Linked DNA regions of Oryctolagus cuniculus. The protein of the gene in region 3 purifies or fractionates together with the protein of the main gene of each other region. This does not show direct contact. Links are inferred from orthologs where the notes say so. Each region holds a gene or a part of one and is shown on either strand. Other genes may lie near its edges.

Region 1 (4,177 bases), on a different chromosome or scaffold from region 3:
GACACCAATTGGCAGTTTAACCTTCTGCACCACACTCCCCCAAAGCAGAGGTTCTTCTACTGTGGTGCCAGGACCAATACCATCAGCATTACCTGGGAACTTTGGTTAGAAATACAGGGGCAGGCATTTGGTAAAGCTTTTAATAGGCCAGTTAGGCAGCTGGCATGCCATACAGGAGCAGAGTGTCTGGGTGTGAGTGCCCTCCTCACTTCCAATATAGCTTTTTGCTAATGTGTACCCTGGGAGGCAGCAGGTGACAGCTCAAGTACTGGAGTCCACGCCACTGATGTGGGAGACCTGGATTTAGCCTGGCCCAGCCCCAACTACTGAAGGCATTTGAGTATCTCAGCAGATAAGATCTCTTTGTCTCTTTCTGTGCCAATTAAAAAAAAAAATTCTTAGATCCACCCCAGACTTACTGAATCAGAAACTCTGGTGTGGGGCACAACAATGTTTTCCATTTTCAGCTGATCATGATGCATATTAGAATTTGAGAATCCCTGGTCTACCTGGGGAAGATGCTGCGCAAGTAGAATTCATTACGGCTTATAAATCAACTGCCTGTCAAGTGGATAAAAGCTAAAACCTAAGAATGTCCAACCAAAGCCAACTATGACAAAAATAAGATAAACTGAAGTGGGACCTCAGTGGAAGGAATTATTCAGTTTGGAACATATCAAGTTAGGGAAGCCAGTAAAATACTCCAAAGACGACACTAAAAGGCAGCTGGAAAAAAATCAAGAGCTCAGAAGTTAGGTTGAGAAATACCCCTTCACACAGAATTGACAAACAATGCCGAGAACATCCATCTTACACAGAAAGACAGAAAGGGGCTGGCATTTGGCACAACAGTTAAGGCACAGGTTGGGATACTGGCATCTATATCAGAATGCCTGGTTTCGAGTCTCAGCTTTCTGTAAGTGCATACCATAGGAGGCAATGGCTCCTAGTGGTGATGGCTCAGGTGAGTGGGTTCCTGCCACCTGTGTGGGAGACCTGGATTGAGTTCCTGGCTCCTGGCTTCAGCGTAGCCCAGACCTGGCTGTTAGGGGCATTTAAGGAATGAACCAGCGGAGGGGGCCTCCTTGTCACTGAGCCGAATCATAGTCTAATAATCCACATTCTGCAAATACTTTTAACTTTATATTTTATTTTTTGAAGCATTTTTTACACTATAGTCAAAGGCTTAGTACACTTTAACTTGCAAAGATTTATTTTGAAGATTTTATTTAGTACACAAAACACTGTCAGAATGTTATTATCAAAAGCAAAGATGTTCTATAACAGAAAAACCATTATTCTAACAGACACATCGGCAATACTAGACAACATTTCATCTCCTCTATCAGAGCTACCTACAGGCTTTCGCCATGCCCTCTCCCTGACAGGAAAACTATCCTTCCAGGTGTTTCCCCCGCATCCCAACTATCTCCACTGCCTCTCAGCAGCTTCCACTTGCCTCCCTGAAGGCAGCTGCCGGGCATCTTTGTAATCAGCTGTGACATGAGATCCCAAATGTCTTGCTACAAGGTCGTAACGCTGCCGAAAGCTGACAAATCTCACACGATTTTAAATACTGGGTCAACTGCAGCTATAACACGACTCCTCGAGTATCAGAGCAAGACAACGCCGGTCTGTTTTCTCTTATCAGGAGAATTACACAATGTTACATGTTGCCTTACTTTTGGGCCTCCGAAGGGAGGCAGAGGGGGGAGTGAAAACACGTCCCCCAGAGCCTCGGATCACGTGCACTCTCCGGCGGACCGGAGCGAGAACAGAAAAAAAGGAACGGGAGACTCTACACCGAAGAGCCATCAAAACAGCGCGCAAGAGATTCTTGTCACCTGGTTACATCTGGAAGCCACTGTGCAGTTAGGCTGGGCCACTCCAGGGCGTGGGTCATCACCAAGTCGTACAGAAATGGGGTGTTCTTTTTCCATATTTTGTACTCCTCGTTGATCACACGCTCTTCCACCGCGTCGTCAAAGGCTGCTAAAGATTTTTTTTAAGCAAACTAAGTTAGCGAGTGGAGGCAGGCGCGCTCCCCCGTCCTGACTGAAATGGAGGCGACTCGGCTCGACCTCCCAGGCCGAGGCTCCGCCGCGCCTCTCCGCCCGCGCGGGGCCGGAAGTCCCCAGCTCACTCCGGCCCGAGGCTCCAGTTCGGGGCGCCGCGGAGTCTACGGGACCGGCCAGGAGGCCCGGGGAGGGGTAGGCAGCGGCGCGGCACGGCGGCCACAGAGCCCGAGCGCGAGGAGGGACAAACAACCGGCCGGCCCCCACCGCCAGCTCCGCCGCGCGCCGGCGGGCATCGCTCCTGAGGACCTGGCGTGCCGTTAGCCGCCCCGCGGGGAGCGCCCTCCTCGCGCCTCCGTCGCCGGGGACTGCGCTCAGCCAAGTCGGGCCTGCCTTCACTCTTTGGCCGAGCCGAGGCCACGGCGCAGCCCCGGCACCCCCCGCCCTCCTGAGGCGGCCCCAGCAACCTCACCTTCCTTGTCGGCCATGGCGGGCGGACGAGCCGGGGGGAATCCCGGGGTCGAGCGCTGCGGGAGGGGCGGGGAGGCTGCGGGCGCTCGTTCGGCGCGCGCGGCCTCTATTGTTTCCTGCGGCCCCTGCGTGAGGCCCGACTCGCGCACCTTCGCGCCAACAGCAACCAATCGGAGCGCGCCGAGCGGCGGGGTGGGCGGGGAAACGGCCATCGCAGCCTATCCAGACGCGCGGAATCGTTCCCCGCGGGGCCCAAGAGCGCTCTCCACCCCTGCCCCCCACCGCCGGGGACCGACTTCCACCGGTTGCGCGCGCACCCGAGTAGGTGGGGCTGTACCCATCCCGAGTCACGTGAGAGAGTTTTAGCTCGCGCACTCCCGGGGGCGGCCATTTTCTTTAAGGCTGTTAAGCATATGAATCTATTGAGAAGAGCCCTGAGACGAGAAATTTCGGATGCTTTCACATCTGGTTATCAACTCTGGGGGCGAGGCGGAGAGAAAAGCCTTCACCCCTCCAGACCCAGAGGTGTCTTAATAAAAGTTTTCCGTCAACTAGTTTCCTTTGTCTTTAGAAAGAACTACTGAGAAGCGCCGAAAATGGGAGTTTAGCCTTTCAAATACGAGATCCGAGCGGCACGGCCCCAGATGGAAGTTTTCGGGCCTAACGTAGGTCGAACTGTGAGATTGGAGTCCTGGCCCTTTAAGGGTGCGTGCCAAGGGGCGGGGTCTAGGGCGGAAGTCGTAACGTGGAGTCGAAGTCTGCAGGTGTAGGGCGGAAGGAGAGTGTCCGAATCTGGCCGTCATGGCGCAGGGCGAGGAAGATGTTAGAGATTACAATTTGACTGAGGAGCAGAAGGCGATCAAGGCCAAGTATCCTCCAGTCAATCGGAAGTACGAGTGTGAGTAGGTGGTTCGCTGCTCTTCAGGTAGCGGTACACGGGCATGCCTTCCGGCCTCGCCTGGTATTCTGCCCCAGGGGTGCTTCAGGTGTGGACCCCGTGGCGCCCTGTGGTGTGGCTTTTCTGCTTGTCACGGGGGATGCTGAGAGGGCAAAAAAGCCTCCAGATGTGTTTGATTCGGGAAACCTGGGCTCCCGCGTTTACAGTCTCTTGAACTCTTTCCATAGGTGCCCGAGCCCATTTATCTTGGTGAATTGTGCAAGTGTAACCGTGTTTTCCAGCGTTGGGGGGTCGTCGCTCCCAGGTTGTCTCCTGACACTGGGATGCAGTGTAGCCAGGGTAGAGGACTCGGAAAGCTAAGTAGGGGACTTGGTGTTTCGCCTTGGTCGTGTTGGTAGTAAGACCTGATGTTTGCCATTTATTGCTTTGGTGACTTTAAGTAAATTCCATAACCGTATTTGCATCTCGATTCCTACATTTGATGAATAAATAATGAGTGTGGAGGTATAGTGCAGACTGTTAAGTTCTGTATTAGGAAAACTGGCCGTGTTGGGGGTGCAGCTGGTTAAGCCGCCGCCTGCCCCTTGGACATCAGGCTTCGGGTGCCGGAGTCCCTGTTGCTCCACTTCTGATCCTGCTCCCTGCTAATGCGCCTGGGAAAGCAGGTCCCCGCCTCCCACGTGGGAGACCCAAATGGAGCCCCTGGCGCTGGGAGGTCTACAAGAGACAGTGAGATCTTCCATCTATTGGTTTGCTCCCCAGATGGCCACAATGGCCAGGGCTGGGCCAGTCC
Region 2 (3,993 bases), on a different chromosome or scaffold from region 3:
CATAATGGGTAAAGCTGCTGCCTGCAGTGCCGGCATCCCATATGGGCACCAGTTCAAGTCCTGGCTGCTCCACTTCCGATCCAGCTCTCTGCTATGGCCTGGGAAAGCAGTAGAAGACAGCCCAAGTGCTTGGGCCCCTGCACCTGTGTGGGAGACCTGAAGGAAGCTCCTGGCTCCGGATCATCACAGCACCAGCCATTGCATGCATCTGGGCCACCTGGGGAGTGAATAAGCAGATGGAAGACCTCTCTCTCTCTCTCTCTCTCTGCCTCTCTGTAACTCAGCCTTTCAAATAAATAAAATAAATCTTAAAAAAAAAAAAAAAAAAAGAAAGAAAGAACAGAAAGCTCAGAAAGAATCGTTTTAAAAAAATAAAATAAGGCACTCAAAACAGCAATTCTAAGCTCTCTGTAGGCACAGGCCCCTTCTTGCATGCTCCTTATTAAATGATGTCACATGTGTGCCTCTGATAATGTTTTTGTCTCATCAGCTTATTTACCAAATTAGAATCTCAGTAAAGATAACAAACTATGTAGCACATCTTCAAAAATCCCTATTATTCCATTACCACTAAACATATAGACAAGCAGAAATAAACTTAGGGCAAATTTTTTTAATTAAAGCAAAAATTTAAAAAGAAGGTTCTGGTCATTTTAGTGTTAATCTCTTAAGTCACTCTGGTCATGGACTGGCTGCCCTGTTCTGCTTCCATATAAAGATTCCTCCAAGGGAGAAAGGACCACGGGGGACACACACAGACAGACAGACACAGACACACACACACACACACACTCTCTCTGCTGGGTGGGAGCGGCAGGCGTGGACCCGGCCTTGGGATCCCTTGCTGTTCTGCCTTACCAAGACTGCCTAAGGAGACAGCTAATCTGAAGAAATGTTCAGATTTCAACCTTCAAGTTCAAAGCTCTGGAGAAATCCTCATCACTCACAAAACAAGCAACGGCTCAAGACCAGGCCAAGGGCTTGCTCAAGACCACGAGGGCCTGACAACATGAGCTAGACCCAGCGAAAGGAAATCAGGCCCGTCCTAAACTCAACACAGAGCAACACGCTCGACCTGCTCTGAAGGGCTGCCAGCCAGTGTGTGTGCAGGTGGGAGCTGGCTTTCCAAGAAGTTGCCTCTCGGGGCTGGCGCTGTGGCGTAGAGGGTAAAGCCCCAGCCTGCAGCACTGGCATCCCGTATGGGCGCCGGTTCGAGTCCCGGCTGCTCCAATTCTGAGCCAGCTCTCTGCTGTGGTCTGGGAAAGCAGTGGAAGATGGCCCAAGTGCTTGGACCCCGGAACCCGCGTGGGAGACCTGGAAGAAGCTCCTGGCTTCAGATCGGCGCAGCTCCGGCTGTTGCGGCCAATTGGGGAGTGAACCAGGGATGGAAGACCTCTCTCTCTCTCTAACTCTGCCCATCAAATAATGTAATTAATTTTAAAAAAAGAAAGAAGTTACTTCTCTAAGACTGCTTAGTACTTGCTGTCAGCCCGAGCAAGAACCAAATGCAGGGAGCTGATGTCTCGCGGACCTGAACCGCTTTGCAAAGTTTCAAGGCCAAATCTGAAGTTTATACTAAATAAACACATAAAAGTCACTACTGTCACAGCTGCTATGAAGCAAATAATGCCATCAGGAAATGCAGAGAGGTGACGATGGACTGGAAACAACGAGCTAAAAAAGGCTCAGGGGGCACCGGTTCCCGACCGGTCCGCTCCGTTTCCTCATCTGCTGACCACGTATTCAGTATCGAAGACCCTCGTCTAGGAAGGCAGGGAACGAGACGCACGGCCCCTTCCCTCCCAGGGCCCGCATTCCAGCCGCAAGCGGACCTGGACAACTCAGTCAGCGCTAGCCGTCCCAGCGGACACTTCTGGCTTTCGGCGCGGTGACCGGAAGCCAACGGAGAGCGAGCGAGAAGGCCCTTCCGGCCTGCGGGGAGGGGAACGCATAGCCAGGCCCACACGGGAGCCCCCGGGCTCCTACCTACTGCTGGCTAGCTAGAGGAACAGGCTCCGGGAGCTTCCGGAGCTTCACCTGCGACTTCAGGGGGCGTTAGGGGAAAGAGGCAGGTTTCCTTTCCGATGACCACCACGCCTGCTCCCGCGGCAGGTGGAATTACCGGGAGAACTCTCAGATTTCGACTGTGTTATGTGGAGCGCTCAGCCGGGCCGACCGAAGCCACTCGGGGGATGGCTGGCTCCTAATCAGGGGGAGGACAGCACGGGGAGACAGCAGCAGCGGCACCAGCCCGGGACTCTGAGCCAGGACCCGCAGGCCCAGCGCCGGCCCGAAGTCCGCAGCCATCCCCGGGCCGCGCGCGACCGCGGCAGTGGGCGGGGCAGCCAGCCGGGCGGCCCGCTGATTGGCCCCGGTCGGCGCTGCCCTCTGACCTCACGCCGACGCCGGCGCGCCCTCCGCCCGCCCTCTCCCTCCCCCTCCCCCTCCGGAGCCGGCCGGCCGGCTCCCACCCAGCCTGCCGGACTGGCGCTCCTCGGGGCCTGGGCCCGCAACACACGCGCGCGCGCGCGCGCGGGCACCCTCGGCTCCCGCCCTCACCATTTCCGCACTTTCTCGATGGCCGCCATCACCTTCTTGATGTCGTCCTTGGCCCGGCTGCGGGTCTCGGCCCTGACCGACCGGCCCGACATGGCGGCGGCGGGAGCGGCGGGGGGCCGGGGCACTGCTCCCAAGACGCGCGGAGAATCGCGCGCGCCTCACACGCGCCGCCGCCACCGCCACCGCCACCGCCGCCGAAGCCGCAGCGTCACCGCGGCCGTCGCCCCCTCCGTGCGCGCGTGCGCGAGGAGGCGCGCGCACCCGCCCGCCCCTTGGGACGCGAGCCCTCAGCGCGCCTGCGCGCCCCGCCCCGGGCGGCCCTCCCGACCCCCGGGCATGGGTGCCCCGGGCCTGGGCGCGCCGAGCAGGCTGCACGTGCTGCGGGCAGGGCAAGGTGCGAGGCGCTGCCGGTACAGTGGGCGGGGTGTCCGCTTCTGCCCAGGGGCATTGAAGGTCCGCGCCCTTGCACTGCGTCCAGAGAAGCTGGGAGCCTGGCCCCGGTGGGACCTGAGTGTCCGCCCCCCCCCCCCCAGGACTCCCACTGGGCTCCAACGGCGGGGAGTTTGACACCTGTCTGGGGTGTGCCTGCTGTTCTTGGTGCTCACCCGAGGAACTGGCTGCTCGCTCTTCCAGAATCCGGTTCAAACTCCAGCCTCCCGGGGTACCCTAGGGTCCCCGTGTTCGTTCTTAGCACGATTCCACTGCCACCATTTAATGCAGCGGTCACTGGTTTCAGCGATGATGCCTTGGGAGGTTTTGGTTTTGTTTTTTCAAGATTTGAAAGACACAGAAAAGGGAGAGAGAGATCCTCCATTCACTGGTTCTCTTTCCCCCTAACGCCTGCAACTCCCAGGGCTGGGCCAGGTTGACTCCCAGAGCCGGGAACTCAATCCAGGTCTCCCGCGGTTGTGGCAGAGGCCCAAATTCTGAGCCATCCTCCCAGCTTGTGCATCCCAGGAGTGCCCCAGGCAGTCGGACCGGGGTGTGGGCATCTCAGGCAGCTTAGCCCGCTGCCCCGGAACACCACCCACGATGTGTTTTTGCTTTCAAAGAGCTTGGAGTTCAGTAGAACATGCAGACCAGGAAACAAGTATTTAAGATGCCATTTGATGAACACTAGGTTAAAAGAGACAACAAAGTGACCTAGAAAAAGTGCCCTTGAAGCTGATCTCTGCAAACAGGGCAGTCGCTAATGCCTCAAGGCCTCACTGCCTACAGACTCTCTAAACACTGCCCCCACCCACCTGCCAGCAGTCACGCATTCGTGCCCACGGGATGGAGGGAGGGTCCTGTGGCCGCAGCTCCTGGGGACGGCAGGAAGCAGTTCTCTAGGGAGATTTCTCTCTAGGGAGAGAAAGGCCCAGCGAACTTTGGACACAACAGAGCCTGGGACTGTGCCCATCTGACCAGTACCAAGACTTGACAAGCACACGC
Region 3 (3,328 bases):
TACAAGGGGGTCTTTTCAGGTGGTACAAACATTGAGGAAGGTAGGCATGAGCTGATGGGTACACTCATCCCACATATGTGAAATATAACCAGCTACAAAGATCCTATTGGGATAAGTACATAAGTAATTCAGGTATAGGAGAGGTCTTCAGAAAGTGTGCAGAAAAATGCATGCATTTCACAGATTTTTATCCTTTAATGCCTTGTTCCATGAACTGGCTGAAGCACCTTTGTCACACATTCCCCACCGCCCTAGAAATAATAGGCTGAGGGAGAGGAGTGTTTACTCTCTTACTTCCTGTGGTAAAAGTATTATTCAACTATTGGTATTTTCCTTCTGCTTCCATCTGCTAGAGTGATCTGCACGCATCCTCTGCAGCCTTCCCCCCATTAAATGCATCCTGAACACTTCCCTGAAATAGGAAAGGCGCTTCCCATTCCCGCCGTCTGCCTGCAGGAGCCCGGAAAGAAGGACCCTGCCTGGGAGGCCACCTTCCCTCGCGTGGCCTGTGTACTGTGACAGCGTTCATCTGCCAAAGAGAGGCGTGCGTGTGTGGGGCCACCGACTGGACAGGACGGCAGGAGCTGGGAAGTTCCTAGGCACCCTGACCATGTGGCCAGTCATCGGTGGCTGCTCGCCTCGTCACTGGTTCGTGAAAAGCATTGCTGCGTGTCTCCTCACTGATGGCTCTTTCGTTTGTTCTTGCATAGCGAAATCGGTTAAGGTGAAAATCAAGCTCAATAAAAAAGATGAGAAAAGCCGAGACAAAGGAAAAGGGAAGAAAAGGCCAAATCGAGGAAAAGCCAAGCCTGTCGTGAGCGACTTTGACAGCGACGAGGAGCAGGATGAGAACGTGAGTGCAGTGCTGGCATCTTGCTCCCTCTCACCTGTGGGTGACAAAGTCGATGGGCGAGATGCCATCCCTGAAGGACGGGAACACAGCGGCAGGACTTCGACCACAGATCTGGGGGCTCTGTGCATTGCTTCAGTAGTCTGCAGAAAATAAAGGGGAGAAGAGAACTCGATTTTGTAGTTTTTCATCTTAGAAATTGAGTTTTCTCCATGGCCGATTCATATTTTGTATATCACGCCTGTCGTGCTGCCTTGTATATAGTAGATGGAAGAATGAGAAAAGGTGTTGGGATGTCGGAGTTTTGGACTTGAGTTGCTCAGTAAGGTGCCATATGAAAACCCAAATGACTTTTTAAGCACCTAAGGGTTTTTTTTTTTTTTAATATTTGAAAAACCTCAGGGAGCATTGATTGAGGCCTGGAAATAGGTGCCTTCCTGTATTGGTACATATTTATCCCAGCATCGTGTGCTGCCACTCTCAAAACATGAGAGTGATTTAGCCATTTTGCTGCAGGTCATCTAGCAAGTGACCAGCAGAGCTGAAATCAGACCAAGTCTGCACAGCACAGGACAGTGGCATTTGAACCTGCCCTACCTTCCTTCTACTTTCCCTGCCAATTTTTTTTTTTCTTTCTGGGAACTCATGTCCATGTTAGTATGATGGTAAGTTTCAGAGTCATCATCTTACACCAGCCTTAACCACTGGGCACAGTTGTTTTCAAATGCATTGAAAGCCCTGTGTTTTCCTCATACCACTTACGAGTGGAGCAGACAGGAAATACATGATGTTTTTCCTTCCCATGTATCTTCCAAGGCATAGGGCTAAAAACACAGAGTACTTAGCCACAAACCTGTAAACCCAGACTGAAGGGGAGCACCCACTAGCAAAAGTGGGGGTGCGTGTGGCATTGGGATTTTAATGACAAGCCCTCTTCTTGGCCTTACTGCTGTCAGTGCCTCTTGGGTGTGCTTCTGTCTTCCTGCAGAAAGATGTGGAGCCTCCGCTGTTTCTCAAAGGCCGTTTGTTCTTTCTCTGCCTGCCCATGGCTTATTAAGGTGTCTCCTCTCGTTCCTGGGATTTTATTTCATTTCCTCTTGTTTTTCCTTCTAGGAACAGTCGGAAGCAAGCGGGACTGATGATGAATGAACAGTCTGGACCTTTTTTCCTTGGTAAAACTGACTTCCTTCCTTCCCCTCTCTGCCCAGTGAACCTACTTGTCATAGTGGCACTGGGCCCTGTCATCATCCTCATCTATAAACTAGCTTTAGGATAGTGCCAGACAAACATATGATATCATGGTGTAAAAACACACACACACAACATTTGTAACATATTGTGACCAAATGGGCCTCAAAGATTCAAAGATTAAAAACAAACCAATCTTTTGATGGAAAATATGTGGGTGGATAGTATATTTCTATGGGTGGGTCTAATTTGGTAATAGTTTGATTGTGCCTGGTTTTATCACCCGTTCAGATGAGAAGATTTTTGTCTTTTGTAGCACTGATAACCAGGAGAAGCCATTAAAAGCCACTGGTTATTTTATTTTTCATCAGGCAATTTTCCAGGTTTTTATTTGTTCGGTATTTTTTTTTACACTGTGGTACATATAAGCAACTTTAATAGGTGATAAATGTACAGTAGTCACATTTCACCTGCATAGACATTTTTCCATTTTATGCTCTATGATCTGAAAACAATGCTTTTTGAATTGTATAAGATTTATGTCTACTGTAAACATTGCTTAAATTTTTTTTTTGCTCTTGATTTCAAAAAAAGTTTTGTTGAAAACGCTATTGAATATTGCAATCTATATAGTGTACTGGATGGCTTTTTTGGTCAACCTGATCTCCTATGTTACCGATGTGTATCGTCTCCTTCTCCCTAAAGTGTACTTAATCTTTGCTTTCTTTGCACAATGTCTTTGGTTGCAAGTCATAAGCCTGAGGCAAATAAAATTCCAGTAATTTCAAAACCGTGGCGTTGGTGCTTTCCTAGTAACGAGACACCATAGCTCTCCAGTGTTGCCTGTTACTCCTGAGTCCTAAGGGAGTGACCCCCTCATGCTTGAGGGGACTGTTTCCTGAAGGGGGCCAGGGAGGCTCCTTGGAAGGGACGAGAGAGAGAGAATGAGAATTCAGGTGTGTGTGCACCACGAGGGAGGCGCCATGGGCCAGGCCACACAAAGGCACTGCTCAGCCTTTCCTCAGGCATTAAATAGGCCTAGTTCTTTCCCAGGTGCCAGCGTAGTACTGTCTGTCGGTCGCATTGCTTCAGAGCCTTCTGAAGGCACTTCCCGTTCCCATTTTACAAACAGGAATACAGCAGTGGAGACGGTGTGGGCTGAGCACACCAAAGGTGGATTCGGGAGGTAAGCTCGCTCCAGAGCCCTTTCCCACCTCCCCAGCGGTAAGGCCTGGGACAGAACTTTCGGATATGCCTCAGGTCACGTGCCAGGCACTTGCTGGCACAGTA

What was found. Proteins that work in one complex are often made in the same cells at the same time.
Region 1: the proteins of SMARCA2 (region 3) and RBBP4 purify together in Homo sapiens (affinity purification with western blotting; 3 studies listed by BioGRID, with this or other methods). This does not show direct contact. The link is inferred for Oryctolagus cuniculus from reciprocal best matches to the Homo sapiens genes SMARCA2 and RBBP4.
Region 2: the proteins of SMARCA2 (region 3) and BCL7B purify together in Homo sapiens (affinity purification with mass spectrometry; 3 studies listed by BioGRID, with this or other methods). This does not show direct contact. The link is inferred for Oryctolagus cuniculus from reciprocal best matches to the Homo sapiens genes SMARCA2 and BCL7B.

What each region holds. Positions count from the first base shown.
Region 1 is NC_091438.1:139,889,236-139,893,412, forward strand, and holds the start of RBBP4 (histone-binding protein RBBP4), read right to left. Parts: upstream 2,801-4,177; 5' UTR 2,699-2,800; coding exon 2,488-2,698; intron 1,993-2,487; coding exon 1,845-1,992; intron 1-1,844. Other genes in the region: ZBTB8OS (protein archease), read left to right, coding at 3,288-3,384. UniProt on the Homo sapiens protein: Core histone-binding subunit that may target chromatin assembly factors, chromatin remodeling factors and histone deacetylases to their histone substrates in a manner that is regulated by nucleosomal DNA.
Region 2 is NC_091450.1:50,474,243-50,478,235, reverse strand, and holds the start of BCL7B (B-cell CLL/lymphoma 7 protein family member B), read right to left. Parts: upstream 2,801-3,993; 5' UTR 2,652-2,800; coding exon 2,560-2,651; intron 1-2,559. UniProt on the Homo sapiens protein: Positive regulator of apoptosis. Plays a role in the Wnt signaling pathway, negatively regulating the expression of Wnt signaling components CTNNB1 and HMGA1.
Region 3 is NC_091432.1:164,360,317-164,363,644, forward strand, and holds the end of SMARCA2 (probable global transcription activator SNF2L2), read left to right. Parts: intron 1-710; coding exon 711-853; intron 854-887; exon of another isoform or gene 888-993; intron 994-1,963; coding exon 1,964-1,999; 3' UTR 2,000-2,828; downstream 2,829-3,328. UniProt on the Homo sapiens protein: ATPase involved in transcriptional activation and repression of select genes by chromatin remodeling (alteration of DNA-nucleosome topology).